Linked DNA regions of Oryctolagus cuniculus. The protein of the gene in region 3 binds, or shares a complex with, the protein of the main gene of each other region. Links are inferred from orthologs where the notes say so. Each region holds a gene or a part of one and is shown on either strand. Other genes may lie near its edges. The genes, in order: TWSG1, HJV, GDF5, BMPR1A and RGMB.

Region 1 (5,916 bases), on a different chromosome or scaffold from region 3:
AGGAAAATGAGAGTGGTAGCTACATAGTGGGCTTGCTTTGGGGATTAGAAGAGAGAGAATTTAAGTATCTTGGAAGCAGATTCTCTAATCCCAACCACCAACATGCCTGCAATCTTGTGAGATTGAGCCAGAACCCCCCAGCTAAATGGCTCCCTGATTCTGGACTCTCGGACACTGTGAGATAATAAATGTTTACTGTATTAAGGTGCCATGTTGTGGAGTAATCAGTTACACAGAAATAGATAACTAATATGTTAAATGCAGGGTACAATCTATTATTTGACCAACTTTTTTCTTAATATAGTCATTGAGCCTCATTGCTATGTAAATTAGGTGATACAAGGGAATGCTTTAATTCATTTGAATACAGTGGTTATCATCTTGTATGTAAAACAGAATATGAATATGATACTCACTGAACTCCTTGAATCTCAGCTTGCTTATATGCAAGAGAATATAAAAATACAGACCAGTGTGCCATGGTCTAGTACCTGAGGCTCTGACCTATACTTGGGCCTTAGACCCTGATACACACATACCAATAATTCTACACACATACACATGCCCATTTCATATCTGCTGTCAATACAGTTAACACTAAGAACACACTCATCATCCCACCTGGATGAGGCACTTGCTCACGTCGCTGGCACAGAGTGCTTTGTTGCAGCTCAGTGACACCGGGAGCCACATCAGGAACATCAGCCCCGCCAGGGTAAGCGTGATGACACAGGGCAACTTCATGATTCCTCAAAGAAGATAATCAGTAACTCCCAGGAAGCTAAGCAAACAAAAAGAAAAAAAAAAAAACACTTTATTTCAAAGGCAAGTGCTAGAGGAAAGACAAATACAAAAATGAACATCAAAACATAAACCAAGACTCATTGTTTATGTCAAAAGACTTTTGAGTGATCATTTTAAAAGCATTGTCAATGAAAGATTAAACATTCAAAATATAAGCTATAATTTTATACAGTACTGTTTTGATAGCCACCTTCAAAGACCTGGAATACTATGTCTCTCAGAAATGGTGACTGTTGGGGCTGGCGCTTATGGCATAGCGGGTAAAGCCACCGCCTGCAGTGCTGGCATCTCATATGGGCACCAGTTCGATTCTTGACTGCTCCACTTCTGATCTAGCTCTCTGCTATGGCCTGGGAAAGCAGAAGAAGATGGTCCAAGTGCTTGGGCCCCTGCACCCGCATGGAAGACCTGGAAGAAGCTCCTAGCTCCTGACTTCAGATGGGCGCAGCTCCGGCTGTTGCAGTCAGTTGGGGAGTGAACCAACGGAAGGAAGACCCTCTCTCTCTCTCTCTGCCCTCCTTTTCTCTGTGTAACTCTGACTTTCAAATAAATATGTAAATCTTAAGAAAAAAAAAGAAAGAAAAAAAAAGGTGACTGTGGAAGTTAAATTGAATATACCTAAGCTCTCAACAGCCTGAGAGTTGTATCAAGAGAATAACCTGTTTCAATAGTACATTGCTACAATTCAACATTAAAACAACATAAAAACTATTAATACTGTATTACAATTTAAAACACTTAAAATTTTTTAAATTCTTTTTTTAAAGATTTATTTATTTATTTGAAAGGCAGAGTTAGAGAGAGAGAGAGAGAGAGAGAGAAGGAGAGACAGAAAGAGATCTTTCATCGGCTGGTTCATTCCCAAATGGCTGGGCCAGGCCAAAGCCAGAAACAAGGAGCTCCTTCCAGGTCTCCCATGTGGGTGCAGGGGCACAAGGACTTGAGCCATCCTCTGCTGCTTTCCCAGGTGCATTAGCAGGGAGCTGGATTGGAAGTAGAGCAGCCAGGACTGGAACCAGTGTCTATATGGGATGCTGGCACTGCAGGTCACAGGTTTAACCCACTACGCCACAGCACCAGCCCCAATTTTTTAAATTCCTACAATCAAAACAAATTGAATTATTTATAGCTATCTCATTTTATCTCTCACCATATTTAGCAAGAATAAAGAAAAGTGTGTGCAGTCATTCCTTAAATAATTGAACCAGTAACAAAGGGGACAGTAAATTATTAATGGCATTAAGAACTCTGAGTAATTTATTAAAATGTAAAGATATTGTTTGCATTCTATTAGATACAGATTCTTTGAAATCATAAGATAAATCAGTTAAAAATCACAAAGGAGGCGGGTAAGGCCAGCACAAAGTCTAACAAGGGTTAAACAGGCAACAGGCTATTAAACTTTAAAAAAAAGTTTTTTCTTGGGATAAAAAAACATGCCCCCAAAACATTATCAAACAAAATAAATCGCTACTGGATGTAACAGGGATAGAAGGTTGGCTTATGGCGTCTTTACGATTCTTCTCAACTTTTGCAAGTATTGCAAAGTACACTAAAGAACAGGTAACCAGGAGTGAAAAGCATAAAGGGCTGCGTAGCCAGCATGAGTCAGTTTTTAAAGAGAAAGCCCTGGCGCTATTACCCAGGCCCTCAAGCACTGCCCTGAGGACCGCTAGTACACCCACCTCCTAACTCAACCCCACAAACAGCCCCGGATGCTTTCTGCAGCCCCCAGCACGTATTCAGAGAAAGCCTCTGAGGCTGGCTGTCCCGAGCTAGTTCTCCTGCAGCCACGGCAGACGCGACCCCATGCCGCTTCCCCCATCTTGCGTGGCTGTCTTCGGCAGCCCTGGACAAGTTCACCAGGAAAGGAGCATTCGAGGGACTAAGAGCGAAGCCCAAACCAGGTAACAGTTAGGTCAAGGGCTCCTGGGTTTCCTAAGGAGGCAGGAACAACAACGCATCAAAGAGGTTTTTCACGCATCCAGCCTCAGACTGGCGACCTGCGGTACTGACAGCGATCGCGGCCCAGCAGGACCTGGCCTAGGGTCCGGCCGTCCCAGAGCCCCCAGCGCGAGGGAGCAGGAGGCCGACGGTGGCCCGGGACTGGGACTCCTAGCCCCTTACCCATTCGGCCGCTGCGGGCTGCGGAGGATGAGGGCCAGGCCCAGGGCCTCACGCGCCGGCCTGCACCGAGGGCGTCGCAGGGATGCTGCTGGTTCGGCCTGGAGCCGCCCGCCGACGCACCTTCTCAGACCCCCCGAGAACCCCGGGCCCAGGCCGCGGCCCTCCGTCCAGAGAGGCCCGAGTTCGGCGCCCGGCCCTCCGCGGCCGGGAAGACTGCACCCCCCACCGGCCCGCTCCCGCTCACCGTGCGCCGAGAGGCCGCCTGCCCTTCGTTTCCCGGCGGGTCGGCCGAGCCCGGAGCGCGCCGCAGCGGCTGTAAGAGCGAGGCCAGGCCGCGCCTCCCGCCGTCCCTTCTGCGCAGAGCCCGCAAGCCTCGGCCACCTGAGAAAAGGCCCGCCTGCAGTCCTCCTCCCTGATACCCTCGGCTCTCGCTGGGGCTGGCAACCGCCAGCTCCCGCCAGGAGGCGTCTCTTATACCCTGGGCGCCCAGGTCAGCGCGCACGCTCCCCGCCCACAGACCACGCCCCGCCGCCGTGGCCACGCCCGCGCTAAAACCACGCCCACCCGCAGCCCCGGCAGCCGCCCGCCCGCAAAGCCACTCCCTCACCGTGACCCCAGCCCCGAACACCCCAACACCCCTCTCACACAAACACACGCTCACGCTCACCCGCAGGCCACTCCCCTGGGCGCACCCGCCCGGGCCCCTCAGAGCCGCGTCGCGCAGGCTGGCCGGCCGCGCGCGCTTTCCTTTGCCGGCTCTTCCTTGCTTCGGTCACCTGCGTCGGGCTCCAGCAGACCCTCCTGTCACACCCATCTCTGGCTCCCCTCTGCTGCACAGCGTTAGGAACAAACACGTGGGCAAGTGCCGGTCGCCGGGCTGAGGGTGCGCTGTGCCTCGCAGCGGCCCCGGCAGGCGAGCGATTCCCGGACGCGGAGCTGAGGCACAGCGCGATGGAGCGGCCCAGCCCGCCCCGGAATGGAACAGACACTTGAACCCTCGCTGCTTTTCGTCAGGTTTCTGGGATCCACCTCAGATCGACGAAGGACCGCCAAGGGCAGCGCCTGCCGAGGGCCCTCAGCTGTTTCTTGAAGCGTGCGAAGCCCGGGGTGTGCGCAACATTGGGAACTCAGCGAAGGTCGGGGGCGTGCACCGCCAAGGCACCGGGCAGCGCCTCCCCGCACGCCTGCGTACCTGTCAAATAAAAAAAAGAAGAAGAAGAAAAACGAAAAGAGGGGTTCATCCCACCAAGAGTTAGCATGCGGGTCAAGGAAATCGAGGATTGCACTCGATGTTTTCCCATGTGGGAATCTGCTTTTTAAAAATATATTTATTTGAGAGGCAGAGATAGGGAGAGAGACAGCGAGCGCCCATCTCGTGAGTCACCCCTTGTGGGTGAAGCGGGGAACTTCATCCAGGTCTCCTACGTTGTAGTTAGGGACCCAAGTACTTAAGCCATCACCGCTGCTTCCCAAGGTGCAAATTGGACCGGGGGGAGGGGGTGCGGGGGGCGCTGCTGGAGTCAGAAGCAAGTGCAGGAATCCAACCCAGGTACTCCCAGGTTATCCGGTATGGGATGGCCAGCGTGTTAACAGCTAGGACAAGCACCTGCCCCAGAATTTACTTTTTATATTTTATTTCTATTTTTTTTTTTATTTGTTACTTGAAAGGGTTGAGGTAGGAGGAGACCAGTCTTCCATCCACTTGTTCACTACCCAAATGCTTGCAACATCCAAGTCTGGGAGAGGCAGGAAGCCAGGAACCTGGAACTCCATCTGGGTCTCCCACTTGGGTGGCAGGGTTACTCAAACACTTGAGCCATCAGCACCACCTCCCTCTGCATGCAGGAAGCTGGAGTCAGGAGCTATTGAATTCATGCACTCCTCTGTGGTTTGTTGGTGTCTTAACAAGGGTGCCAAATGCCTGCCCCAAGAATTTGCTTTGTAAACAGGATTCAAGCATGATTAAGTTGGAGCCCAAAAGCCTAGAGGAGCCATAGGCCCTTTCTCCTTGGAAAAAATGACCTAGTGTCAAACCCTTGCACTACTGAGTCTTTTCTTTTTTTCCAAAGATTTTATTTATTTACTTGAAAGGCAGAGTTACAGAGAGGCAGAGAGAGAGAGAGGTCTTCCATCCACTGGTTCACTCCCCAATAGCCGCAACCACGGAGCTGAGCTGATCTGAAGCCAGGAACCAGGAGCTTCTTCTGGGTCTCCCACGTGGGTGTAGGGGCCCAAGGACTTGAACTTCCTTCTACTGCTTTCCCAGACCATTAGCAGAGGAGCAGCCAGGACATGAACCAGCGCCCATATGGGATGGCAGCACCACAGGCAGAGGCTTGGCCCACTACACCACAGTGCACACAGCGCCAGCCCCTACTAAGAGGTTTCAACATCTTTCTACTGCCCTTTATTGACTGGAAGGAAACAGAAAGAATGGAAATAGTGGAATGGAGAGGGGTGGGCCTCACTGTTGAGGTTAGTTCATTTTCGTACAATAAGAAGTACAGATTTTCAAAATCGTCCCTGCAGTGGACGTTTGGCACAGTGGTTAAGGTGCCACTTGGGATGCCCGCATTCCTTACCCAAATGCCTGAGTAAAGTCCTAGCTCCTTCACTTCCGATCCAGCTTCCTGCTATCATGCACGCTGGCAGGCAGCGGCAATGGCTAAGATAGTGGGGTCCCTGCCAACAATGTGGGAAACCCAGACTGAGTTTTCTGCTTCCAGCTTCAGCCAGGCCCAGCCCTAGCCACTGTGGACATTTGGGCAGAAACCGATGAATTGAAGCTGTCTCTCTCCAGCTCTCTGCTTATCAATATAAAAGAAGCAAATAAAAGATCCCCAATGTGAGAACTTGGGGTCAACTCCCCCACCCCTAGGAATGGTACATCAAACCTTATCAGACCCCTCATATGGGAATTACTGATCTCATATGTCATTGATATTCAGTGACATTTGATATCTGCTGTGGTGGCCAAACCAGTGT
Region 2 (6,246 bases), on a different chromosome or scaffold from region 3:
AGCAGCTGGATCGGAACAATCTGCCTGCTATACAATGGGGTTGGGAAATGTGATGAAGAGCCCCTGCACAGGTCTGCAATGCAGAGACCTGGTCTAGATCTTCATTCTGTGCTCATTTCAACCCAGGACGGCAGCCACATCTGACCCTGGATAGAGACATCGCTGAATATGTCTGCAGTCCCCACTGTTTCCTCTAGCAATTCTTTATTTTCTTTCATGCCAACCTCTATCCCCCAATAATTTCCAAACCAGTCACGGAGCTGCTGCGTACTTATTGGATGCAAAGCCACAGAACAGAGAGTCCGGAAAGGAGTGAGGCAAGGAAGGTGGCTGTGGAGAGAGGGACCCCAACATCTGAGGGGAAGAGGTGCAGCTTTTCTAAGTCCGGGAGGAAGGCGCGCGCATCTTCCAGAGCTGCCTGAGCTGCTGCAGTGAAGTTGGGGTCACCAGAGATTAACACATCAAAGACACAGGAATGGAAGTAAGCATCTTCAACCGGAAGCCCCTCCTTGCACAGCTGTCTGGCAGTGTCTATGGTGATAGCTCCCCGGCGACTGCGCTCTGAGCGGGAGAGCCGCTGACTTGGCGGGCACCCCCCAACGCAGAGCTGCAGGTCCTGCTCAGCCGAGAAGGCCCTGGCCACATCCTCTGCTACCTTGATCGAAAAGGAGAGCTGCCCAGCTGTCTGCCGAATGATTATAGTTGTGCCGATATAGGCGGCTCGGATCTCCACGTGGCTCCCAGGGTTAGCAGTCTGAATGGACAGACTTGAGCCCCCAGGTCGGTCGCCTCCATTGATAGAACCATCTTCAAAGGCTGCGGGAAGATTGTCCACCTCGGCCTGGTAGACCTTCTGATCGATGCACTCCTGCATGTTCTTAAATATGATGGTGAGCTGTGTGAGCAAGACAGAGAATGGTTCATTTGGGGCTCAACGCACCCTCCCATCAGGCCACCTGCATGCACAAAGTCAGGGCTCCCATCCAAGCTGGGAGACAAGGCTTCTCACGGCCCTCAGTCCTGGATCCCTTCTCCTACCTGTGCTCCAATACTGCTTCCTTCCCCCTCAGCCCCTCTCTCTACTTGTTGGTCCCAGTCTCCCAAGGAGACTTCTGAAGCGCCTCAGCTCCTCTTGCCCCAATTTTCTCCTTAGCGGTTTCAGCATTTGAGGGACATTCCCATGGAAGGAAACCGATTCACAGGAAAAAGCGCTTGGTAGGAGGGAGGGACCGGGGATGTGAGAGTGGGGATTGGGAGCACTGCTGTGGGATGATGGGGCTGGGGAGGCGGTGGGATGGGTGGGGGAACCCTTAGAAAATCTCATGAAGACCCCTGGAGGAAAATTGAGACCCTGACCTTCCGGGTGGTGGTGGCGTTGGCCCCCGTTGCCACGGGGGAGCTGGTGGCCTGGACAAAGAGGAAGTCGTTATCCAGCAGGGGCCAAGCTCCTTGGACACGGCACGTGTGAAAGTGGTGGTGGAAGCTGCGCACGTGGGGGTCCCCGAAGGAGGCGCAGTGCAAGAAGCCCGGGGGACGACCGTGCAGCCGCGAAAACTGGCCTTCGTAGTCGCAGGGGTCTGGGGTTGGGGGGCCAGGACCTGCTCCTGGAAGGGCAGGGCCGCGGGGCGGGGGAGGAGCCGTAGGGCCCTGGCGGGAGCAGTTATGCTGAATCATGAGATCCTCGATGCCGTGCACGGCGGAGTGGAAGGCAAGATCTCCGCGGCAGGTGCGGGCCGTGCGCCGAGTGCAGAGCGCGTAGGAGCGCAGCGCCCGACAGAGGCCGCCGGAGCCGGCTCCTCCTGCTCGGCCGCCGCTGCCGCCGCCCCCTCGAAGCCCTCCTGGCGAACCCCCACTTCTAAGGCTCAGGGTGGACGATACATACTCAGCATTGCAGCGGAGGATCTTGCATTGCGAATGAGCTGAGGACGGAAGGGAGCAGATTGTGAGGCGGTTCCCACATCCCTGCTCGAAGAGTCTCCTCCTAACTTCCAAATCTCATCAGGAGATTCCAGTCGTTCCTAAAACCTAGCCAAGCCCCTGCTCTCCCCCTCCGCCCCCTGGTCCTGTCCTCCCTCAGTCTTATTAAAGTGTGTGAGCCCACATGGTCTCCTCTGTCCACCAAGCTCTTCCCAGGGCCCTTCCCCAAGTCCAGTGGGACATGAAATGTCCCTGAGAGTAGGGCGGGTGCCTGGTACTGCCCGCAGCCGTTCTGCCTCAGGCACACAGGCTCACAGGCCCACCCCTGGGGTCTCCCAAGCCCTTCCCTGGCCGTTCCTTACCATGTCCACAGAGGAGCAGCAGAAGAGTGAGAGTGCTTAGAGTTGGGGGACTGCCGTGGTGGGGCCGGGGACTACGGAACTGGCCTGGATCCCCCATACCTATACAGCCAGGTGCCCCCAGCCCCGATTCTTCCCAGCTGATGGCCCTCCTACCTAGTGAATTTTGACCGGCTGTCCTGTAAGTGACTGAAAAAAAGAGAAATTTGGCTGGGCATGGAGAAAGAGAAGAGTTGAGGATTGGTCAGGATGCTGTGAAGAGAATCTGGGGAGATCAAGGAAAGGATGAGCAGTCGGGTTTTGGAGAGAATGGGGCTCCCCAAACTATAAGTGTGGCAGATGAGCTCTGCTCCTATGGTCACTTCCAGGTCCCTTGTGCAATACCCCCAGGTGGGGGTGGAGGGAAGGTTGAGTGACCTCAAGGGGGCAGAGTCCACATATTGCCCCATCTAGCACTACCAAACAGCAGCTCTGTCAAAAATGGAGGACTTGTGGAGGCAGATCAGTTCTCAGCTCCCCCGGGGTGGGGCTGGGGGTGGAGGGGTGTTCCCCTGCAGATTTCGGTTCTAGAAATCCTGTAGCAACACGCCCCTGAAGCGTCTCTCCCCACTAGAAGGGGCCGCCCTCCGGGAGTCGTCCATTTCTTTTCCCCTTTGGTGTCAGAAAGACAAGAAGGAGCACAGGGAGGATACCCTTGCCTTCTAGAACCTCTGTATTCCAATGAGAACAGAATCAATCTCTCATCCACTCAGGGGAGCTGCAGTCCTAATCCCCCTGTCTTAGAATAACAGGATGCAAAACCAGGCATGCCAATCAATGTTTGCTTTTTCTGAGTCAACAGTTGCTATTTTCCCAAACCTAACTGAAGAACCACTCTTTTCACTAATCTCCCCTTTGCAAATTTGAAGTTCTCAGTCTTTTGCTGAGGACAGGGGTTAGGGAAGGGCCAGCTCTCTCGTACCAAACTTCTCTCTTTTGGACTAATGAAACGATTTGGGAAAAGAGTAGGTTGGAGGGAGCAGAGTTGTGGGCAGACGTCATATATAAGACAAGGGATAGCTTCCACCCTTGGAAGTCCAATGTGAAGGGCATTGCTAAGTAGGGACAGGGTGCAGGCATGTCAGTGACTAATCATCTAGGTCAAATTTGGCCACAATGAGAAAACTACAGAATAGGGGGGTGGGCAACTCCTCCAAAGACTGCATTACAAGTCCTGGGGTAACAAGGCAAAGACTGCCAGACACAGACAGAGGATTAAACTTCAAATGGCCAGAGGTTAGATGCTAGAAAGAAGTGAGACTGAAAGAAATGGAGATTGGAGCACCTTGGTATAGAGAGATCCTAGCTTTTGGACCAGAGACATCCAAGGCAGTGTCTGTAATTTCATAAAAGTCTAACTTCAATCCAAGAGCTTATGAAAGGAATTGCAATTGCGTTTTAACTTACTGTTTCCAGAGGTCAAACATTACTCTGATATCCAATTCTCCAGCCATGGCTGCCTACTCTGTCAGTCTGCTCCAGCCAGGGGGTCCCCCGTCTCTTTCTCCATGTCTCCCCCAGCTCCCCAGGTCGGCTGCAATCTCCCTGAGGTCAGGAAGCCAGGGAAGGCTTGGTGTGGGGAAAAGGGGAGTATGTGGCTGGCGGGAGCATTGGACAGCTGAGCGGGGGAGGGAGGTGGCTACTGAGTTGACTGTTTTAAAAATAGCTAAGTCCAAAATTCCAGGAACATTGGTGGGGGTAGGGTGTGGGAGTGGGGAGGGTAGAAAGATTAGAGAGAATATGAAGTATTGGGTGCCAAGTGGGGAGAGTGGGAGAAATATGACAGCAAAGTCACATATCCAGTGCTTCTCAGGTCACTCTATGGTCGCTGTCTACTCCAGGCAGCCCTTTGGCGTTCTCAGCAATGAGCTCTTGACCTTTAAGTATTGTGGTGTGCAATCGGATACCTCTCACTTACTTCCCTCATCCGTGCTCTTTTGAACATTACATGTAGTTTCCACATAGAGTATCTGGAAGGTCTCTGACTAAGGAAGAGCCATAGCGGAGGTGGGTCACAGCCCCGCCCCCACCTTTGCGGAGTGTTCCAGGAGGACTGGCAAAGCCAGCTGTCCAGAGAAGAAATCTGAGCTTTGAGTTGTTTTGGGTGAGGGTTTGTTCAGTCTCCTCAGCTTGGATCCTTGCAGCTGTCTGTCCCTACCTCCTCTGTTTTCCATACCTTCGTTTGCACAGAAGTTCCTCCTCCCTCTCCCTCATGGGCACACAGCAATGCAAGCTCCTGAGTTGCTGGGAGAGAAGCTAACAAAGGCAAAGAGGAAGAGAAGGAATGGAGGTCATAGGAGAGGAGCAATTAGATAAACTGAGAGAAAAGGAGATCCTGAAATGTGCTTTCGTGGAGCAACATAATCTTGTGAGCCTCTAAGACTCGCGAGCATGGAATTTAACCATGTCATGTTTTGACAGCCATAGGAATATCTGGGATCACCATCTTAAAAAAAAAGTGTAAATGCCTTTGTATTTATCTGTGAGGCAGAGATATGGAGAGTTGTCATCCACTAGTTCACTCTCCTACTGTCTCAACAACGCTGACTGGGGCCAAGGCTTGAGGCAGGGAACCCAATCCAGGTCTCCCATGTGGGCGGCAGTAACTGAGTCACCTGAGCCATCGCCTGCTGCTTCCAGGAGCAGAGCTGAGTGCCAAACCCAGGCACTCTGGTATGGAATGCGGGCATTTTAACCACTAGACCAGACTCCCAACCATTCATCCTCTTAACATCTGCCAAAGGAAATTAGCACAAGGACTGATTCCAAATAGTATCACTACGGCATCTATACCCATGTTCTTTTTTTTTTTTTTTAAAGATTGATTTATTTATTTGAAAAGCAGAGTTACAAAGAGAGGCAGAGTGAGCGAGCGAGCGAGAGAGAAAGATCTTCCATCCGCTGGTTCATTCCCCAGAGGGTCACAATAGCCCGAGCTGCACTGATCTGCAGCCAGGAGCCAGGAGCTTCCTCTGGGTCTCCAGGCCATCTTCTACTGCTTTCCCAGGCCACAGCAGAGAGCTGGATCAGGAGTGGAGCAGCCAGGACTCGAACCGGCCCCCCATATGGGATGCTGGCACTGCAGGTGGTGGCTTTACCTGCTATGCCACAGCACCGGCCCTTATACCCATGCTCTTTACATTCAGAATCTAGAGGCCCACCATAGTATACTTCATATATATATATACATATATATATATACACACACACATATTCATGTATATGTATATACAAGTACTACAAGTACTATTATCATATATCTAACAAATTTAGTTTTTCCCTGAATCATATGAGGCCATATCACAAGAAGTTTCATTACAAAAATCTAAATGGGGGGTGGGGTGGTGCTGTGGCATAGTAGGCTAAGACTCTGCCTATGGGCGCCAGTTCATGCTCCAGCTGCTCTTCTTCCCATCCAGCTCTCTGCTATGGCCTGGGAAAGCAGCAGAGGACAGCCCAAGTGCTTAGGGCCCTGCACCAATGTTGGAGACCCGGAAGAAGCTCCTGACTCCTGGCTTTGGCTGGCCCAGCTCTGGCCATTGCAGCCATTTGGGAAGTGAACCAGCAGATGGAAGACCTCTCTGTCTCTCCCTCGACCTGACTGTAACTTCACCTCTCAAATAAATAAGTAAAATCTTGAAAAAAAAAATGTAAAACATTGAAAGTATTCAAGTGATTTTATTCAATATAAAGGGAAAGCTTCTCTTTATAAATGTATTACAGGAAATAAATGAAGAAAGGATAGCATAATTAGAATGCTAGCATTTTGTAACTCTTGATGAATTAAAGTGTCCAGGCAATGATCTATATCCATCACAAAAAGAGAGATAAATATTATGGTCTTCTGATCGGAAGTGGAGCACACAACTCCACCTTACATGAGACAATTTTGCAAAAAATAAAAACAAACAAAAGCTTCAGTCTGAATCTG
Region 3 (6,212 bases):
GGACTCAGGGACAGGAGGAGACCTCGAGCCCCAGTTGCACTCAGGGAGTGAGTGAGGCTCTGGGGCTCCCCTTTCTCACTGGCTGTGTGTGGATGCTCCTGGCTGTAGCTTCCCGGTCCCTCTGTGATTCCAGGAGTGCAAGGAGGGGCTCCTGGGATTGCCACCCAGGAAGACAGAGGGCCAGTGCTGCTACCTGCAGCCACAGGACTCCACGACCATGTCCTCATACTGCTTATACACCACGTTGTTGGCAGAGTCAATGAAGAGGATGCTGATGGGACTGAGCCGCGTGGGCACACAGCAGGTGGGGGGTGTGGACTCTGGGTCCATGGAGTTCATCAGGGTCTGGATGACCGCATGGTTCGTGGGCTCCAGGTGGGAGCGCAAGGGGAACTCGCACAGCCCCTCACAGTGGAAGGCCTCATACTCAAGGGGTGCGATGATCCAGTCGTCCCAGCCCATGTCCTTGAAGTTGACATGCAGTGCCTTCCGACTGCAGCGGGCCTTGAGGTTCTTGCTGGGTCGCTTGCCCTGGCGAGTGGCCAGGGGTGCCCGCCGTTTCCGACGCTGGCTGAAGAGGTACTCATACACGGTCTTATCATCCTGGCCGGAGCGGGCCTTGATCTCATTAAAGAACAGGTCCCGTTTCTTGGTGCGGCCGAACACTAGGAACAGAGCCTTCTCATGGACCTGCCGGGCAGTCCGATCAAAGCCCAGGCCACGGAGGTCCACGGCCCGGCCCCGTTCCCAGGCCTCCAGCTCCAGGCATAGCTGGGCCGAGTTCTTAAAGTTTCGGAAGAGCTTCCAGATGTCGAACACCTCCCAGCCAGAGCCGTCCAGGCCTGGCACGGAGCGCACATCCAGCAAGGCTGCCGGCTGCCGACCGCTGGGGCAGCTGGACAGCTTCAGCTGGGCAGCCCGCCCGCTGCCGGGGGCCACTGGCTTGGCTGTGTCTGAGGGCCTCTTCCGCAAGATCCGCAGCTCAGCCCCCAGCAGCCCGTCCTTCTCCAGGGCACTAATGTCAAACACGTACCTCTGCTTCCTGACCACAGGCCCTCGGTCATCTAGAGAGAACACCCAGAAGTCATTGCCTGCATCCCCCACCTCGGGGAGCCAGTCACCTCGAGGCCCCACGGGAGCACCCCAGCTCGCTCACTCACTCGCTCTCTCTCTCTCCCCCCTACGAGAGAGCTCTCTTTAACCTCTTCCCCACTCCAACAGAGGCCAAGACCCAGAGCACTGACAACCGTTTTCAAAAGGAGGGAGCTTCCCACAGGCAACCAAGGTCTGGTGTTCGTCTGCAAATGTAGCTGCGGTTGCCTTGAGTGATTTGGGGGTGGTTTGTGCCAATGATCTACATGTGTCAACGATCCGCCAGCCTTGGAGCTGCCTTCTGCCTCTCTCCCTCTCCTATCCATCATGCAACAGGATAGCTCAGTTATCAGACTGGCAGAGCAGACATTAAAATCACCTTTGTTTTTCCGGAGGAACCTACGGCTCTGAGAAGTTAGGTGCTTGCTTGAGAAAACCCAGCCAGGGTTGGAACGCTAGCCGGAAGCTTTTGATCCCCGATCTGAGCTGCTTTCACACTCTCCTGGAGGAGATCTGGGTGTTCTCGCTTTGTAGATGAGGGACAGGCATGCGGGGCGACTTGACTAAGGTCACACAGAGTTACCGACAAAGCTGTGGATAACTCAGCTTGCCAGGCTTTTGTGGATATGTCTTGCTCTGCGGCATGTGTGAGTGTGTGACGGTTTGTATGTGTGTGTGACTGGGTTTATTCTGAATAGGAAAGATCATGGCTGAGTACGCATGAGTTTCAAAATGTTTGCACCAAAAATATATGTCTTTCGATTCCATTTTTAAAAACTTTTAGACGCACCCTCGGGTGTGTGAGTGACATGTTACAAGTGTGTTGCATTGGGCTTGTGTGACTATCTGAAAGGTCAGTTCTTACATGTATACTTACATGTGAGAATTGTGTGTATAAAGAGGTATGTGAGTGTATGTGTGTGTGTGTGATTCCGCATGCATGTATAAATCCAAACTGTGTGTGCGAAGCTAGTAGTATCTCTGAATCGGCATACCCTTCTTCCTAAATACCAATTTGCCATTGGGGAACATTCATATATTGCTCTAGGTGACTAATTAGGCCTTTAAACTCCCCATCTCCCCCTCCCGAAGCCCCGTTAGTGCTGGGGGGCACAAGGACTGATTTTATGATTCCCCAAGGGGTCACAGCTTTCCCTGGCTGGGCAGGCAGCCAGGCCACCTCCCCCCACCTCAGCCAGACCTGCTGCCTCTGTGCCTCACCCCCGCCACCCGCACCCCCACCCCTGTGCTTCCCCTACAGGCCAGCTCTAATGAGGAACCTCTCCCAATCTCTGTCCCCTCCCCCACCCTGCCAGCCAAAGCCCCTCAAACTCTGAACCAGAGCCCAGGAGCTGCAAGCAACCCGAGCGATCAGCGGCCCACCCCCCCTTCTCACACTAGGGAGACGCTGCAGCCAGCCCGGAGAGGGAGACTTGCTGAGCTCACACAGCGAGTTAGAAGAAGAGCTGCAACAGTGACACGAGGTGGGCAGAGGGAGAAGTGAGGGGAGCAGGTGTTCCCCCAGGTTCAGGATGAAAATGATCTGTGGTTAGGACAGGACATCAGGTTTTCAGTTTTTGAGGGGCACTCAGAAATCACACAGCCCACCGCCCAAACGGCTGTGCACGTGGGAGAACAGAGCCTGCCGTGAGAAGGGCCTTTTTCTCAGGGTCACATTGCGAGTTAGACCCTGGGTCTGCAGTCTCCCCACGTCTCCAGACATCCTTCCACGACTGCAAGATGCCCCGGCTTCCTCTGCCCTCAGCCCAAGAGCAAAGCTGCAGAGCCTCGGCGACCGGGAGACTCAGCTCTCTCTCCACCCAGTGAGAAAATCTACAAACTCCAGGAGCCTGCAAAATCTGGCCAGCCCCCCCAGACGCAGAGCACGGCCTGGTAGTCAAGACTCTCGGAGTCTGGTCTCCGATCTGCCCCTCACGGGCAGCTCCGTCCCCTCTCCCGGCTCCAGTGCGCCTCTCTGCACCTTGCAGGAAGTGGATCTGGCGATCACTAGTCGCCTTCCAGCAATGACCTGCCAGCAGCCTGGACCTGGTGTGTGTGTGTGTGTGTGTGTGTGTGTGTGTGTGTGTGTGTAAGAGAGAAAGAAGTCAGGCACCCCATCCCAGGCCAGGTGCACACACCGTCCTGCCCCAGTGCAGCCCGTGCAAGGCCCCCTCTCCCACCCCGCCATGCATGCAGCTGCCCCTCCCTCTGAGTCGCACCCCTGCCACCCCACCCCCTCACCTTGCCCTTTGTCAATAAAGCTGGTGATGGTGTTGGCCAGGCCAGCCTCCAACTTCACGCTGCTGTTGCCTCCCTTTCTGTCAGCATCGGACAGCGTCCTGTACAGCGAGAGCATGTACTCGTGGGGTGTGATGGGGGGCGGGCGGAACGGTTCCTTGGGCTCTCGAGGGGGCCCGGGCTCCCTGGCCTTCTTCAGCAGGAAGGAGCTGGGGACAGATCCTGCCTTTGGGGGTGCCTTCCCCCCGGGAAGCTGTCCTTTTGGGGTCACAGTTCGTGCTGCAGTCTGCCTGGTCTGGGGAGGGTGTCCTGGCTTGGGTTCAGGGCCACCCGTTCTGGGGGGCAGCAGCTTTTTGGGTTCATCCTTCTTGGGCTGGGTCAGGCCTCCCGTCTGCCCGGTGCCTCCCTTGGCCCTGGCATTGGTGGCCCCCCCACCATAGCTGTGACCCCCGGGCCTGAAGATGCTCCGGGCCACCGCGGGCCTCTCCTTGGCCTCCGCTTTGGCCAACACTGGCCTGGGCCCCGGGGGTCTCTGGCCCAAGTCAGGGGCACCCAACACAGAGCAGACGAATTCCAGGTCCAGCCAAGCCAGGTGCCAAAGCAAGAGAGTGAGGAGTGTGGGGAGTCTCATCCTCTGGCCAGCCGCTGGATGACACCAAAGAGAACGGCGGCAGCAGCGAAGGAGCCTCTGGCTTGGCAGGAAAAACCATGAAAGGAGTGGACTTTCAAAGGCAGCGGCGGCGGCAGTAGCGGCAGCAGGGACGGCGCTCTCAGTCTGAGACTCCTGAAGTCTGCCGGGCGTGTGTTTGTGTCCAGTCCCATCGTGGAAATGCTTGCGGATCCAGACGTGCACCGTCTCCAGTCAGCAGCTGAAAATAACTCGTTCTTGAAAGGAGAAAGCCGACCGCCCCCTTTCTCCTGCACAACTGACTGAGGGCTTGAAGGAGGCTTGTATAAGACTGAGGGATTTTTCCAAGAAGGAAGAATGGCGTAATGCTGCCTGTGTGCTCCAGTTTTTTTTTCCTCCCCCCCTGGTTTTGAATCCTTTCCAGTGAAAATACTTCACACACACACACACACACACATACACACACACATACACAGAGGCCTGCAGGTGCTCAGAAAAATCTTTTACAAACCTGAACTCAGGAATTGGAAACGGAATTCCAACCCAAACCAATTTAATTACTCTCTGATGTCATGCTGTCTAAACTCATTTAAGTACGATATATTTATGTGAAAAAAGTCACGGCTGCCCTTTGCAGGCCCTGGCTCACGGGGGCTCTTGGCACAGAGCCCCACAGCGGGACTTGCGGCTTAGGGGGCTCCCGGTCGGCCCAGCAGACTCAGGGGTCCTCATGTGCACTTCACGGAGCAGCCCACCCCACCTGCCTGCAGAGGCATGCCCGGGAATGAGCTCGAAGATCTTAAGCCCCAGAAACACGGGCAGTGTGGGTTTTCAGTAAGTCCTTGCCATGTTTTTAAGGCGGTTTCAACCCCTGCGTGTAGTCCTGGGCCTGATTTGTTCTGTGTGTGTGTGTGTGTGTGTATGTGTGTGTGTGTTGGCGGGAGGTAGCACAGATGGCAGCATTTACCTACAGTTTCTTTTATTTGAATAAACTTGAGGTGACCCAGAGAGAGAGAGAAAGATCTTGGTGCCCGCTGCACTCCCCGCCGAATGCCACTGACGGAGCGCAGGTGAGTTCTTCAGGCTTGGGGGCACTGGCACCCCGGAGCCCGCTGTGTGGACGGAGACAGGTCCCGGCAGCCCCCAACCTCCTCAGAGTTCCCTTCGAGCAGGAGGGCTGAGTCCAGAGGCTACGGCCCCAGCCTGGGGCAGCAGCGACCCCTGCAGGAGGCTGGAAAAGCGGCTTCCTCCATGCGTTTCTGGTAGCTCTACAAGTCCCAATTCCAGCTGGACTTGGGGTTTCTTAAAGTGCCTCCTGGAAGCCAGGAAGCCCCCTTCGCTCGGGAGCCTGTCCCTTAGAGGCCATGGGCAACTCGCCCCAGAATCGTGGGGTAAGAGTTGTTCCCTTCACCTAGAATGTCCTCCTCTCCCACAATGAAGGAAGCCCTCCTCATCCTGACAAGTCTAGCTGACATCTCACCTCCTCCAGGAAGCCTTTCTCGATCTCCAGACAGAGCCAATCACTCCCTCGTGTCCACCTCACTGCAACAACACTGGCCAGGAGTTCCATGGCATCCTTCTTAATCTAAGAGACTCTGAGGTCTCAGAAGCTCTGTGATGTCTGCAGGGGTGTGCCGGCACCCAGCGGTCCTCGCCTGGTGGACCCTGGGCCCTCACTGATCTTCAGAGCACAACAGCACACTTTGGCCATCCGAGCTGCATCTGGGGCTCTGAGGTCAGAAAAGACAATAGAGCTCCCCTCCCCACCTCGGAGGCTCTCTCTGGGGAGCTCGACGGAGGGCAGCCACCTCTCTTCCAGTCACTTGGCTTGGCTTCAGTCCCTTACCCAGGCCTCTCTGGCACACATCTCCCCGCCCCTCCACCCTCCATGTCCCCATCACTGTCCCTATTCTCCGTCCAAACTCGTAACTCCTTCGTAAGTGGCTTCCAGACCCGCAGGATCTCCTAGGTCATCCCTCCCTCTACCTACCCTTTGAACAAGTGCCAACTCACGTGGTGCCTCCTCCATGAAGCCTGCCCTCATGCTCCAGTAAAGGAACACTCCTTCCGAACTGCCACCTTTCCATTCATCCAGCCTCTGCTCCCACCCCCATCTCCAACACTGGTCATTTCTTCTACTCCGGGTATGTTTCTCATATTTTTATCATAACTTAATTCCTTGTAACTATAATAATTTATTTATATGTCTCCCCCATTTGATTATGACTAGACTGTACCATATTTATATTTCAAT
Region 4 (5,468 bases), on a different chromosome or scaffold from region 3:
ATCTGGCACATTCTAGGGAAACGCGATTTTTCAGAAACCACAGGTGAAGGTCACTTTCTGAGTTTATGAACACCCCTGGACGCTGGGAAGGCAACAGGAAAAGCTGATGAAAGCGCTGCACTTCAGAGACTTGTTCAGTGAGCGAGCACAGGGAGAGCTGCAGGACAAAGGGAAGCGGGTCTCGGTGAGCCTTTAATCCCAGACTCGCCGCCGCATAAGAGAACTCACTCCCGCTGTTCATATCCAGGTCCTTTAGGCTTTTGCTTTTCTGTTTATGATATTTAAAAGGTATGGCTGGCTGAAGCCAGACATTTATGAATGCTGAATTCTAAACTTTCAGGGTCTCATCAATTATCAACAGTGGTACCACACACACAGGGCTTCCCCTTACTGGCTGACAGAGTAATTGCTTCACTTAGTAGCTAAACTTCAAATTTAAGAGTAAGAGTGAGAAGGAGAGCAGAAAATGGTTAAGTTTCATGCAACTTTTTTTTTTTTTTTAGATTTCAGGATTCCAAATCTGGCAGCATTTGCTTTTTAAAGAAGATCGTATCCTAGGAAATGTTTTTGTTGAACAAGTTTTTTCGGGTTAATTCTCAGTATCACTGTCACCAGTCCACACTAATCAAAAACATTATCATTGTGACCTCATACACTGCAATTTTTTGCTTCACATACCATTTTAGCATTTCTAAGAATGAAATTTGCCTTTCGGTATAAATTTCCTATACTAAGATGACCAAAATTTTTAGTTTATCAAGTCATACACAAACCAAGGTTAACCAAGGTTAACCAGGGCTCAAAAACGTCACGTGGCAATCTCGATGAAAATATATTTCTGGATATATAGATGGGGAAACATTCTGAAAAGGCAAAAAGGCAAGTTATTTGGTACTGCCAATATGCAAATTTACTTATCTTAATAAACACTTCCGATTTTGATTATGTGAGATGCAACTTACTAAACAATCCAGACGGATAAGGCAAGCTTCAAATTTGTGTAGACACCCACATGTGCGTTTTAGCTTCCAACGACACGGAAGGACACGTGCTGTGATTTGCCCGCGTTTACTTTAAGCCTTTCTGACCGTGTGTGATATCCCCGCGTGGATGCTATGTCGATCTCACGGGATGCACCCATGAGCTGTGTGTTCTGAGCAGGAGGTGGCTATCTGGAGGTGTTACGCGGTAGCAAGCTGCAGGACCTGCACCGTTCCTGGAGGCGGGAAAGCATCTAGGAAACTGGCACCACTTTACTGAGTGACAGGCGCACTGCGTGCTCACGGGTGCTGACCAGGTGCTGAGCCTCTCCCGACTCTCCAGTGTCTGCACACGGCAGGGCGCAGAAACCGCAAACCATCTGGTTGTCTACAACACGCTTAATTAACAGCTGCGCATGGATTTCCATCAGCTCTGAGACAACATTTCTAATCAAGAGACTCCTCTCATAAAGGAACATTGCAATCTTAGTGGACACATTTTTGCCCAGGGCTGACAGGGCCCGGCATGGGGAGCCCTGCCGTGGCCGCGATCATTCTGAACACTCCCCCATAGTCCCGCTCTCCCCAGTGTCTCCCCTGGGGGGTGGGCTGAGGGCCCCGTGAGCTGGCTGCTAATACACGGACACATGTGACCCCCGCAGGCTGTCAGGGAGCAGGGGTTTTGCAAGTAAAGCACATTATACACAAAATATAAATAACTTCCCTTTTAAAAGTCACTGAGAACGAGGAACACAGAAGGCAGTCAGCGGCACTGGCACTGCGGGCCAACGCACAGCAGGTGCTTTCCAGGTGACGCAGCTTATGGCACTGGAGGCTCCAGCTCTGGGGAGGGTGCTCTTCCCAACAAAATACCCCCCCCAAAAAAAAGGGTGGTGGCAGGAAAACAGTCCAGATTCATGGGCACTTTAGACTTCTTTTGGCCTTGACACTGACTTTGACATTAAGAAGAAACACGGGTAGGGGAGCTCTCCAGCCCGCAAGGCTTTTAAAGAAGGGGACTCTCGGTCAGAAATTGCATTTTTAAAGCACAAACCAGCAGCCACCAGCACCTTCCTGTGCACTCGTCCGTCATTGTCTTCCAGCTCCCAGGGCAGCCGAGGGCGGCTGGCGGGTGACGGAGGCAGGCCAGGCGCCCCCTCGGGGCCACTCTGCAAAGGCAAGCGGAGCGCACAGATGGAACGTCCTCGGGTAGAAGGCAAGCGTGTGCTTCTCCACCTCTGCTGAACTCTATCTTCCGGAGGCTTTCACAGAAAGCACCACCTGCTGACCAGGCAGCTCAGCACCCAGAGTCTGACTGGAGCCCTACTCATCAGGACTGAAGTCTATGCAGTTCATAGAAACCCAATAAAAAAAGGCATCAAATACCACATTTAAAACACAGCTGTTCGTATAGAAACCAAGTGTCTACGAGTTCCCGGCTTCTAGGATACGGGAGGGTCTGACGCTAGCAGCCTGGGAAGGTGCAGTGAGGGCGGGCGTGAGCCAGGTTCGAGTCCTCCTCCCATGCTGGCCCCGGCGAGCCCAGGGGCAGGGGCGGCGCCTGCAGCGCGTAGCTCAGATCTTTACATCCTGCGACTCCACCATCTTGGCCAGCGTCTTCTTGATCCGCAGCGCCGTGAGTCTGGAGGCTGGATTGTGGGCCCAGCACTCTGACATCAGCTTCAGCACGGCCCGCAGGCACTGGAAGCAAAGAAGAAATGGTGAGCAGAGAGGGCGGTGGGCGCCAAAGCCCGCCCCCTCTGCGGGGAGCCGGCACTCACCTCGTCGCTGTTCCAGCGGTTGGACACAATCGGCCGCAGCCGCTTGACGCACACGACCTCGCGCATGTCCTCGTAGGATGGGTCGCTGGGCACCATGTTGTAGTACGGCAGCTGGTACTCTTCCACGATCCCTGCAGGCAGAGGGACACCGTGGCCACACTGCGCAGCCAACCTGCAGAGCTACAGGGCCACACAGCTCCTACCCAAGGAAGACAGCTAGGGCCTGGGGGTCCACTTCGAACGGTGAGTGCACGGGCTTCTCTTATTCATGCCCATTATTTCCTCCCCTCCAGCCAGCACCCCAGAACTGTGACAGCCCATCAGGAAACGCCAGTATTCCGTGGGTGGGGGGCAAGGCGAACCCTTGCACTTACTCTACACCATACACAGGACCACCGACTAGCAGGCTGTTCCTACCAATGAAATGCGTGTCTAGCCCTCTGGCTGACTTTGTCCCACAGTGGAGAGACATGAGCTGCAGACCAGAGTTCAGACAACAGCAGGCCTGACGCCGGGCTTCTCACTGAAGCCTGCTTGCAAGGCCGCCCTGGGCTGGTGCCTAGGAGCCTGCAGGCAAGACGACGCCCTGCGTGCACACAGAACTCTCCCTGTGGTAAAGGCACGGCTGCTCCTGGACGGTACGCACTCGACACCTGCTTTCCCTCTGGGAGCCGGGGGTTTGGGAGTGGCCAGGAGGAGGATGCCCACACCACCAGCTTTGCTGTGAGTGCCCTGTGTGACAGTGCATGACAGACGTCATCACGGTCCACAGTGGGAGGGGCTCGGCATCCTGACTCTGCCCCCGGCCCTTTCCTTGTCCGAGTTAGACTTGTGGCTCTCACCGTACATCTCAGCCGTGAGAATGACTACGTGCCGAGTCCTAGAGCCATCACGGCATCTGGGGGGCGCTCCTGGGGACTCTGACAGACGTGACATCTAAATTACCCCACAGCAGCTGCTGTTTCTTCAACGATGGGCAAACCAGTAGGACCAGGCAGGCCGCCCCACCGCCTACCTCCCGTGACGCAGCGGCGGGCCATCTCCCAGATGATGAGGCCGAAGCTGTAGATGTCCGCCATGATGTAGGGCTGGAAGTGGTTTTTGTTCAGGCTCTCGTCCAGCACCTCGGGAGCCATGTAGCGCTTGGTGCCCACCCTGGTGTTCAGGGGCACATCCACTTCATTCGTGTCACTGAAACAAGATGGTATCCAGGGTGAGTGCCACCAACGAAGAGCCTAGCTTGTGTTTTCACGACATTTTACACCAGTGTCTCCCCCTTTCTCTCTCTCATATCCTAAAAGCTTTGTAACTCTGATGTTTAAACAGCTGGCACCATCCAGCAGTCGTGGAGAAAGGGCGTCTTTCTCTGCTCTGTTCACAGGAGGGGTAGCTGACGCCTGCTTTGTGAGGGGACAACAGGCCACAGGTCGGAATTTCACATACTCCTTCTCCAGGAATCCATTGGGAACAAATACTTGTACAAGTGCTCAAGGCCATATTGTATTCTATGGATAAAACATAGTAATGTTCGCTAAAACTTTTTTAATAACAGGGATAAACTGAAGGTAACAGTAACATCCAACAGTTGGGTCACGGAAAACTACATCTGTTAAGTAGCAGCAGGGGGTCAGTGCTGTGGCACAGCAGGTTAAAGACCTGGCCTGTAGCACCAGCATCCCATATGGGTGCCAGCTGCTCCACTTCTGATCCAGCTCTCTGCTATGGCCTGGGAGAACAGTGGAAGATGGCCCAAGTCCTTGGGCCCCTGCACCCATGTGGGAGACCCAGAGGAAGCTCCTAGCTCCTGGCTTCAAACAGGCTCAGTTCCAGCCACTGCAGCCATTTGGGGGGTGAACCAGCTGATGGAAGATCTCTCTCTCTCTCTCTAATAAATAAAATAAATCTTAAAATTAAAAAAAAAGAATGAGGCAGATCTACACAAACACCCTTCTGAAAAGGAAGGACATGTAAGACAAAAAGCAGGAAATCAAGAATTATGTAAAGTAGTATGTAATTACTAACAAGAAAACCCCATAAAACTCCAACTATATGCATATATGACCTAACGAAGGGTCCCTACGTGTTTTCAGAGTTGCAATGTCCTCAGGACAAACAGGTACAGAAACACCCTTTGGAGGTGACAACACTTTCAACATGGTTGGGCAAAGACCCCCGCACCTGTTGAATTTAACAGCAAGGCCCAGGTCAGCAATACAACAGCTCCCGTTTTTCTTGATGAGGATGTTTTTGCTCTTCAGGTCTCGATGGGCAATGGCAGGCTTCCCTTGGGTGCCATAAATTTCTGTGTGCAAGTGGCACAGACCACAGGCAGCCGAGTAAGCCAACTTGAGCAGAGCTCTGGTGTCCAGGGTGGCACATTTCAGGAAGTCATAGAGGGACCCGTTCTCATGGTAGTCGGTGATCAGGTAGAGTTGAGTCCAGGAGCCTGTGCCTTTAATGTCCGCTGCTATGAAACCTGTCCAGTGAACCAGGTGAAAGGTTAGCTGTCGTCAGAGATGGCTAGGAAGGGAATGACCGCACACTCGGGCTATGAGCACCATTTAGGTACCACATACAGGTAACAAGATGTAGCCTGCCTGCCAAGACCTCCTGGATATGCTACCAAATTCCTGTAGCTGCTCTTTGTACATGTGCAGCTATGCCGCGGCAATCAGTTTAAAACAATCTTAATAAACATCAAAGTGAC
Region 5 (5,967 bases), on a different chromosome or scaffold from region 3:
AGCATACCAGGTTCTAGTTCCGGTCGGGGCGCCGGATTCTGTCCTGGTTGCCCCTCTTCCAGGCCAGCTCTCTGCTGTGGCCAGGGAGTGCAGTGGAGGATGGCCCAAGTCCTTGGGCTCTGCACCCCATGGGAGACCAGGAGAAGTACCTGGCTCCTGCCATCGGATCAGCACAGTGCGCCGGCCGCAGCGCACTGGCCACGGCAGCCATTGGAGGGTGAACCAATGGCAAAAGAAGACCTTTCTTTCTCTCTCTCTCACTGTCCACTCTGCCTGTCAAAAAAAAAAAAAAAAAAAAAGACATTTTTAAAAAAAAAAAGTGCAAGTAGGTCTTAGATCCTTTGTGTTTCTACCCAATTTATACATTGATCTTATGAAGTAAAAAAAAAAGTTTTATGAACTTTAATAAGATTTGACTAAGTAAAATATTTTTTTTACAAAACCACATTTAGAAAGTGGCATTCTCTCCTAGTATTATGTTATAAAATTCTTTTCCTTACCACTTTTATTATTAGTACAACTAATATTTATAATAGTGTAATTTATTAACAATAATCCTCAAACAGTATAAGCAAATAAAGGAATTATTAAGGGGGCTATCAATTTCAACAACACATGCAAGGAAAGCAAAACAAGGACTAGAAAACAGATCCACATGTTTCCTGGTAACTGAGATGAGGCCCACAGTTTGCACAAATAAAAACTTAGAAAAAGTAAGCCAGCTATACTCTCAGCAGCTGGGAGGTCGGATTATCCACTAGCTGAGCTTCGTAAAAGCTCAAGTTCTGTCGTCTTTGCATGGATACTCGGAAAATGGTGCAAGTACATATTGTATTAGCAGTTTCCTTACAGTCAACAGAGAAATGCTAAGTATACTTCACTGAAAAATGACTTTTTGCCTCTCTTACAGTCCCATTTTTGGCTTACCTTGATTGGTGTGAGAGAAAAAAAGAAAAATCAAAACAACATGATGGGGGAAAATTGTAGAGCACTGAGCAAGATAAAGGATTTGAGAATAAAAACAAGCCAGGTCTTTTTACTTGAACCTTACTGGAACATCTGAGGTGTAATTAGAAATATAAATGTTTTGGCATACATGAATGGGACAATGGGAATGTTGAGGTTGATACAAATGAAGGTAACTGTGATACAGTTAGTAACCATGAATTGTATTCTTGAAAATCAGAGAATGGTTATTAAGTATCCTCACTAAATTTGGGACATAACGCTTACCTTAATCCCTGCCATATAGTCATGCCACAACATATACATATTTCAGTCACATCATGCACAATATATATGATTTTTGTCAACTACATTTTTAAGGAAAAGCAATTACACAAGCTCACAATATTTTCCCACCAATATCACTAAATGCAACTTTTTAAAAGAGTGCCTTGCTTCGAAAATGAAAAAAAAATCCTGAAATTCTGCTGTTGAAATTAAGCAAGGCATTTGTAGTTTAAAAATTAGTACTTCTATTATGAAAGTTCATCCTTTTACGCCTTTGTTGCAGAGAAGATTCCACAGGAAACAAAAGTGCAGGTCAAAATTCCTATGTGGGCTCTGAACTGAAACCCCTGAGAGACATCATGAGATAAAGGAGAAATGCAATGTGTGGTGTGATGAATGCATTCACACAGTGATTGACAAGTTAGCATCCAGGTTCCACTGGCCAAAATCACATGGAGATGGATGGGGCAGAAGAGGTTCTGACGGCTTGCGCCCATCGTCCAAAGCTAGCAGAGCCGGGAAGTGGTGGATGACTGGGGCTGCATTAGAAACATCGGCTGGGCTGGCTCCCTGGGCTGACTTTGAACTCTTGTTCATCATTATTTTATGCTGCACTCCACTTTGTATTGGTGGAAGGGAAAAGAAAAACACAGGAGACTAGCTTTTAGCTTCTAAATCAAAGCTCTGCTTTGCTGATTGCCGGAGTGGCTTTTCAAAGGCAAAGCAAGTGGGGGCATTAGAATTCCTTGTTTCTCTAGACCAAGAACTGAAGTACCGTTATTTTTTTTAATTCTCAGTAGCAAAAAAAGAACATATTTCAATGTATCTTACATTTACCTTGAAGCAGCCTCTGTGGTGGTTCCTTTTTTCTTTTTCAATTTGATTGGCACTTGCAGAAGATAAAGCAAGGTGGGAAAACATTTAACAGGGAGCCTGCAGAAGGGCGCGAGGAGGCGTGCATTGTCACGGAATCTCAGAACCGGGAGGAGCTGTGCCCCTTGCACACCCTGACTCAATCCCTCACGCAGGTGCCTCGGGAGTCAGGACGGCCCCTCCCTCGGCCGCCCTCGTGGACTGCCCGATGCTGCCCCCAGCGGCAGCCCGGTGAAGTGCGAGGAGGCCGCGGGGCGCGGAGCGGGCGCAGGGAAGCTGCGGGAGGGTCCCGCAGTCCCCTCCGAAGGGAGCCGCTCGCTGGCCCCACGCAGCGGCCCTGGAAATTCGGCCCCGGCCAGGAGAGCAACGGCTTTGTTTCCCCGCGCCGCGCCGCGCCGCGCCGCGCCGTCCGCGCGGCGACTGTGGTCCCCGGAGCATTCCCCGGGGCTGGCTCCAACTCCCAGCGCTTCCTCCTCTCCTTGTTCCCACAGCTTGGCCCCGGGCTCGCTCGTTTATTTATGTTTGGTTATTTAAGAGGCTGAAAGACAGAGACGGCCGGGCGGCCAGGCAGGCGGATCTCGCATCTGCTGCCTCGCTCCCGCACGCGCCCGCACCCAGGAACTCGCTCCGCGTCTCCCGCGCGCTGGCGCAGGCACCCAGCCACCTGCTAGCTCAGGTCCACGCCGGGGCCGGCCTCGGGGACCCGAACCCGCCCCCTGCCCCCATTCGGAGACCCTCGTGGGGAGAGACAGCGCGGCGGGGAAGGCGAGGTCTCGACTCAGCACCCGGCGTGGCGCGGGCCGGGCCGTGGCGGCGGGGGTCCTGCGCGCGCCGGCGCCGTCGGGGGTCGCGCCGGCAGGGGGCGGTGCGGCGCGGGGCGCGCTTCCGAGGAGGGGGCGGCAGGCATTTGGCTCCTCGCCCTCTCCCCTAGGTGGCAGAGCGGGCGCAGCCCCCGGCCCCCGGAGCTCGCCCCGAGTCGCCTCGCCTGGCGAGCGCCCCCCACCCCGAGGCGGAGCCTCCCCGCCGGCGCCCCGGGCCCCGCGACCCCCCACCCGCGCCCGGGCCGCGTGGCTTGCGGCTTATTTTCCCAGCTGGCGGGCGTCGCGCTGCAGACAAGGGAATGCCTGTGGTGAGTTGTTTATTTTGTCGGAGTTTGCGGTGGGCCGGGGGGCCCGCGGGGGGCGGGCGGCGGGCAGCGGCCGGCACTGCTTGGCGTTAGCTCTCCGTCCACCTGTGTGGTATAAATCAACCAGCCCCGGGGTGGCGGGGGCCGGCGCGGGAAGAAGCCCCCTGTCCCCCCTCGCGGACCCGGGGTACCACGTTGGCCTCTCCGTCTTGCTCGCGGGCGCGCCCAAGGGCAGGCGGCGCCCGGGGCCGGTGGACAGCCTGCCTGGGACCTCCACCCCTGGGGCCGGACCCCGTGCCAAGCCAAGGGGGACGGGGGTGCGGTGGGGTGGGGGTATCGGCTCGAAGGGCTGCCGCGACATTCGTGGGCACTTGCTCTGGCGGCTTCTCTGGGGCGTTGGGTACCGCGAAGTGGGGATCCTGGGGGAGCCCCCCACCCAGGGGGCTGCTGGCCGTCGTGGCCGCGGCTTTGCTGCCCTTGCCTGGAAGGGGGAAAAAAAAAACCTAACTACATTAGCGAGCTGGTAAAGCTTTTAAGGCCTTCTTGGGAGTGAGTGGCTGGCTAATGAGAGGTTAATTTTGTTTCGAAGGCAAGGCTGCGCTGGTTTCCTGAGATAAATGGACAGGAAGCGCATTACCTCCGCGCGCTGGCAAGCGGCTCCCAAATGCTTTTTGCACCTGCCGCTTCGGGCGGTGCGGCCCGCGGGGACCGCGGGGTGCGCGCGGGGGGCGGGCTGCGCGCCTCGCTCGGCGCGGGAGCCCGGCACCACCACCCGCACCCCCGCACACACCTGCCTCGGGGGGCGCCGTGCTCACGCCGCGCTCGGGGGCTCTCCTCTCACCCCCAGGTCCTGCGTGTTCCGGAGCTCGCGGGCCCCCTGCAGCAGCGGAGGGGTTAAGCATGACGTAAGTACGAGCCTGGAGCCCTGGGGGCCCGGGCCGCCTGTGCCCCAGCCCGCAGCCGGGGAGCCCTCCCAGGCGGGTCGCGAGCCGGGCCCCCAGCCCCTTAAGTCCCTGCTAAGCAGGCAGAGGTGGACGGTTTGTTAACTCGGGCTGGGGGAAACCGGCGAAGGCGGCAGGTGCAGGTGCAGGCTCAGGAAGCGGCGCCGCATCGCGCGCGTGGAGTGCACGCCCTGGCCGCGGTCGGCTTTGCCGGGGTCCCCAGAAAGTGCGGTTCTGGTCTCGCCCTCAGACCCAGTACAAGTGGCGAGGAACCGGGGGGGAGACTTGCGAGTTGCACGACTCCTTGGAGTTTTGCAGGTTTTTTTTTTTTTTTCTGATTAAAATAGCAAACTTGCTGAAAGTCGTCGATGGCGTGTGCGGTGCGGGCCTGGCCCACGGCTGCTCCTCCGTGGGGTACAGGCCGCCCCCCTTCCCCGGCACGGACCCGCGAGGCCGTGGGCGGACCCAGCGTCTTGAAGACGGGGGACCACCTTGCGGTTTCGTTGTGAAAATTAGCATTTTTCTTCTAGCGGCTGAACGCTTGTGCGGCAATAAAAAGTGGATTGTTAGGCTTATAAATCTTGAGCTTGTCAGATTTTACAACAGAGGAGCAATAAAGCGCCTCGCAGCGGCCCGGGGCCCCAACGCCGGGCTCCGCCGCGCCTCCGGGGCGCCCTCTGCCGGCCGGAGACTCGGGGCGCGGCGGGGAGCCCCGGCTCGACCTGAACCCCGGAGCCACCGCCTCTCGGCCAGGTGTCCTGAAGTGTGGCCAACAAAATGGGGTGCTCCCGCCGTAGGGCTCATGAAGAGGAACTGAAAAACATATATATATATATTTACTGTCAAGGCTTTGCTAACAAAGCACTTGCAGACACACAGCGTCCTGTTCGACCATGCTTTTAAAGGACATATAGCTGCATGTCACAGAGTTGATTGTAGATAGGAATTGAGAGAGAGGGTACCTTTTTTTTTTTTTTTTTGGCTCTAATCGTTTTGGGTGCGCGGCCTTATCTAACGATTTCAGGGGCTCCCTCCCTCCGCGCCCCTATCAAAAAGCCATTTCTGCAAGGCAACTCCGGAGCTATCATTAGGAACATGAAGCATGTGCAGAAGGCTCGGCTAGTGAAAGGTGTGTTTGCCGCCTGAGTCATGCCGCTGTGTCATAGCGATGAAAAAGTTAGAGGAGGAACGGTCTACTCCACTAGGGACCTAGAGGCTCGAGCAGCGCGCAGGCCGGTGGGGTGGACGGCTGCCACCACCGCCCCCAGCCCCCATCACCCCGCTCCACCGCCGGATAGCTCCGGCGAGCTAGCAACGCGTCCGCGGTGCACAGGAAATGTCTAACCGGAGATCCTGAGCTACGTGGCGGGCAGGGCTGCCAGCTGCGGCCCGGGACCCGGCGGCGGCGGCGCCCGGGAGCACTACCCACCCGCGGACGGCGGCGGGCTGCGACCCTCGTCGGGCCCCTGGAGGCCCCTCTCCTAGCGCGAGCGGCCGGGGTGGGCGGTTTGTTTTCTCCACCTCAACCCCCCAACCCCGCCATTGCGCTCCTGGGCTCACGGACGGGAGGCGTGAGAAGCCAGCGAGCAGCGCCCGCTCGTCGCGGCGCGATCCCGCTGCCTGAAAACGCACCCCGCGTTCCTCTCACCGCCCCGGGACCCAGCCCGTGGAGGGTCGCCCCCTCTCAGACCCCCACCACCACCGCAGCCTCCTCGCCTCAGGAACACCCCGGGCCGCAACACCCGTTCTCCCGGCTTTCGCCGAGCGCCCGCAGCGAGGCCAGGGCTGGGCCGG

What was found.
Region 1: the proteins of GDF5 (region 3) and TWSG1 are in contact, whole or in part, in a crystal structure (PDB 8BWL), measured with the Homo sapiens proteins. The link is inferred for Oryctolagus cuniculus from reciprocal best matches to the Homo sapiens genes GDF5 and TWSG1. Residues at the interface, in NP_000548.2 of Homo sapiens: Glu434, Phe435, Pro436, Ser439, His440, Glu442, Asn445, Val448, Ile449, Leu452, Ser455; in NP_065699.1 of Homo sapiens: Cys26, Lys28, Cys31, Ala32, Ser33, Val35, Ser36, Leu39, Ile40, Cys44, Gln45, Cys46, Arg47, Cys73, Val74.
Region 2: the proteins of GDF5 (region 3) and HJV are in contact, whole or in part, in a crystal structure (PDB 6Z3L), measured with the Homo sapiens proteins. The link is inferred for Oryctolagus cuniculus from reciprocal best matches to the Homo sapiens genes GDF5 and HJV. Residues at the interface, in NP_000548.2 of Homo sapiens: Met412, Trp414, Trp417, Phe478, Asp480, Ser481, Lys488, Tyr490, Met493; in NP_001366281.1 of Homo sapiens: Arg95, Arg98, Gly99, Leu101, His104, Ser105, His108.
Region 4: the proteins of GDF5 (region 3) and BMPR1A are in contact, whole or in part, in a crystal structure (PDB 3QB4), measured with the Homo sapiens proteins. The link is inferred for Oryctolagus cuniculus from reciprocal best matches to the Homo sapiens genes GDF5 and BMPR1A. Residues at the interface, in NP_000548.2 of Homo sapiens: Arg399, Phe435, Pro436, Leu437, Ser439, His440, Glu442, Pro443, Asn445, Val448, Ile449, Leu452, Ser455, Met456, Pro458; in NP_001393490.1 of Homo sapiens: Gly65, His66, Cys67, Pro68, Ile77, Thr78, Phe83, Ile85, Glu87, Cys100, Met101, Lys102, Glu104, Gly105, Phe108, Gln109, Asp112, Ser113, Lys115, Ala116, Gln117, Arg120, Ile122.
Region 5: the proteins of GDF5 (region 3) and RGMB are in contact, whole or in part, in a crystal structure (PDB 6Z3J), measured with the Homo sapiens proteins. The link is inferred for Oryctolagus cuniculus from reciprocal best matches to the Homo sapiens genes GDF5 and RGMB. Residues at the interface, in NP_000548.2 of Homo sapiens: Leu396, Arg399, Phe435, Pro436, Leu437, Arg438, Ser439, Asn445, Val448, Ile449, Leu452, Ser455, Met456; in NP_001353437.1 of Homo sapiens: Gln57, Thr60, Phe63, Val64, Thr67, Ser68, Leu70, Asn71, Tyr88, Leu103, Val104, Ser107, Ala108, Leu110, Gly111, Ile112, Asp114, Leu115, Gln118.

What each region holds. Positions count from the first base shown.
Region 1 is NC_091441.1:66,528,857-66,534,772, reverse strand, and holds the start of TWSG1 (twisted gastrulation protein homolog 1), read right to left. Parts: upstream 3,477-5,916; 5' UTR 3,176-3,476; exon of another isoform or gene 2,932-3,175; intron 782-2,931; 5' UTR 745-781; coding exon 622-744; intron 1-621. UniProt on the Homo sapiens protein: May be involved in dorsoventral axis formation. Seems to antagonize BMP signaling by forming ternary complexes with CHRD and BMPs, thereby preventing BMPs from binding to their receptors.
Region 2 is NC_091438.1:48,867,882-48,874,127, reverse strand, and holds HJV (hemojuvelin), read right to left. Parts: upstream 3,969-6,246; 5' UTR 3,723-3,968; intron 2,466-3,722; 5' UTR 2,377-2,465; coding exon 2,280-2,376; intron 1,920-2,279; coding exon 1,357-1,919; intron 896-1,356; coding exon 272-895; 3' UTR 188-271; downstream 1-187. UniProt on the Homo sapiens protein: Acts as a bone morphogenetic protein (BMP) coreceptor. Through enhancement of BMP signaling regulates hepcidin (HAMP) expression and regulates iron homeostasis.
Region 3 is NC_091442.1:22,724,331-22,730,542, reverse strand, and holds GDF5 (growth/differentiation factor 5 precursor), read right to left. Parts: upstream 3,962-6,212; coding exon 3,334-3,961; intron 1,065-3,333; coding exon 190-1,064; downstream 1-189. UniProt on the Homo sapiens protein: Growth factor involved in bone and cartilage formation. During cartilage development regulates differentiation of chondrogenic tissue through two pathways.
Region 4 is NC_091446.1:78,229,106-78,234,573, reverse strand, and holds part of BMPR1A (bone morphogenetic protein receptor type-1A), read right to left. Parts: intron 5,238-5,468; coding exon 4,940-5,237; intron 3,953-4,939; coding exon 3,777-3,952; intron 2,893-3,776; coding exon 2,762-2,892; intron 2,682-2,761; coding exon 2,556-2,681; 3' UTR 1-2,555. UniProt on the Homo sapiens protein: On ligand binding, forms a receptor complex consisting of two type II and two type I transmembrane serine/threonine kinases.
Region 5 is NC_091445.1:21,218,265-21,224,231, forward strand, and holds the start of RGMB (repulsive guidance molecule B), read left to right. Parts: upstream 1-2,357; 5' UTR 2,358-2,876; intron 2,877-3,037; 5' UTR 3,038-3,235; intron 3,236-4,079; 5' UTR 4,080-4,132; coding exon 4,133-4,137; intron 4,138-5,967. UniProt on the Homo sapiens protein: Member of the repulsive guidance molecule (RGM) family that contributes to the patterning of the developing nervous system. Acts as a bone morphogenetic protein (BMP) coreceptor that potentiates BMP signaling. Promotes neuronal adhesion.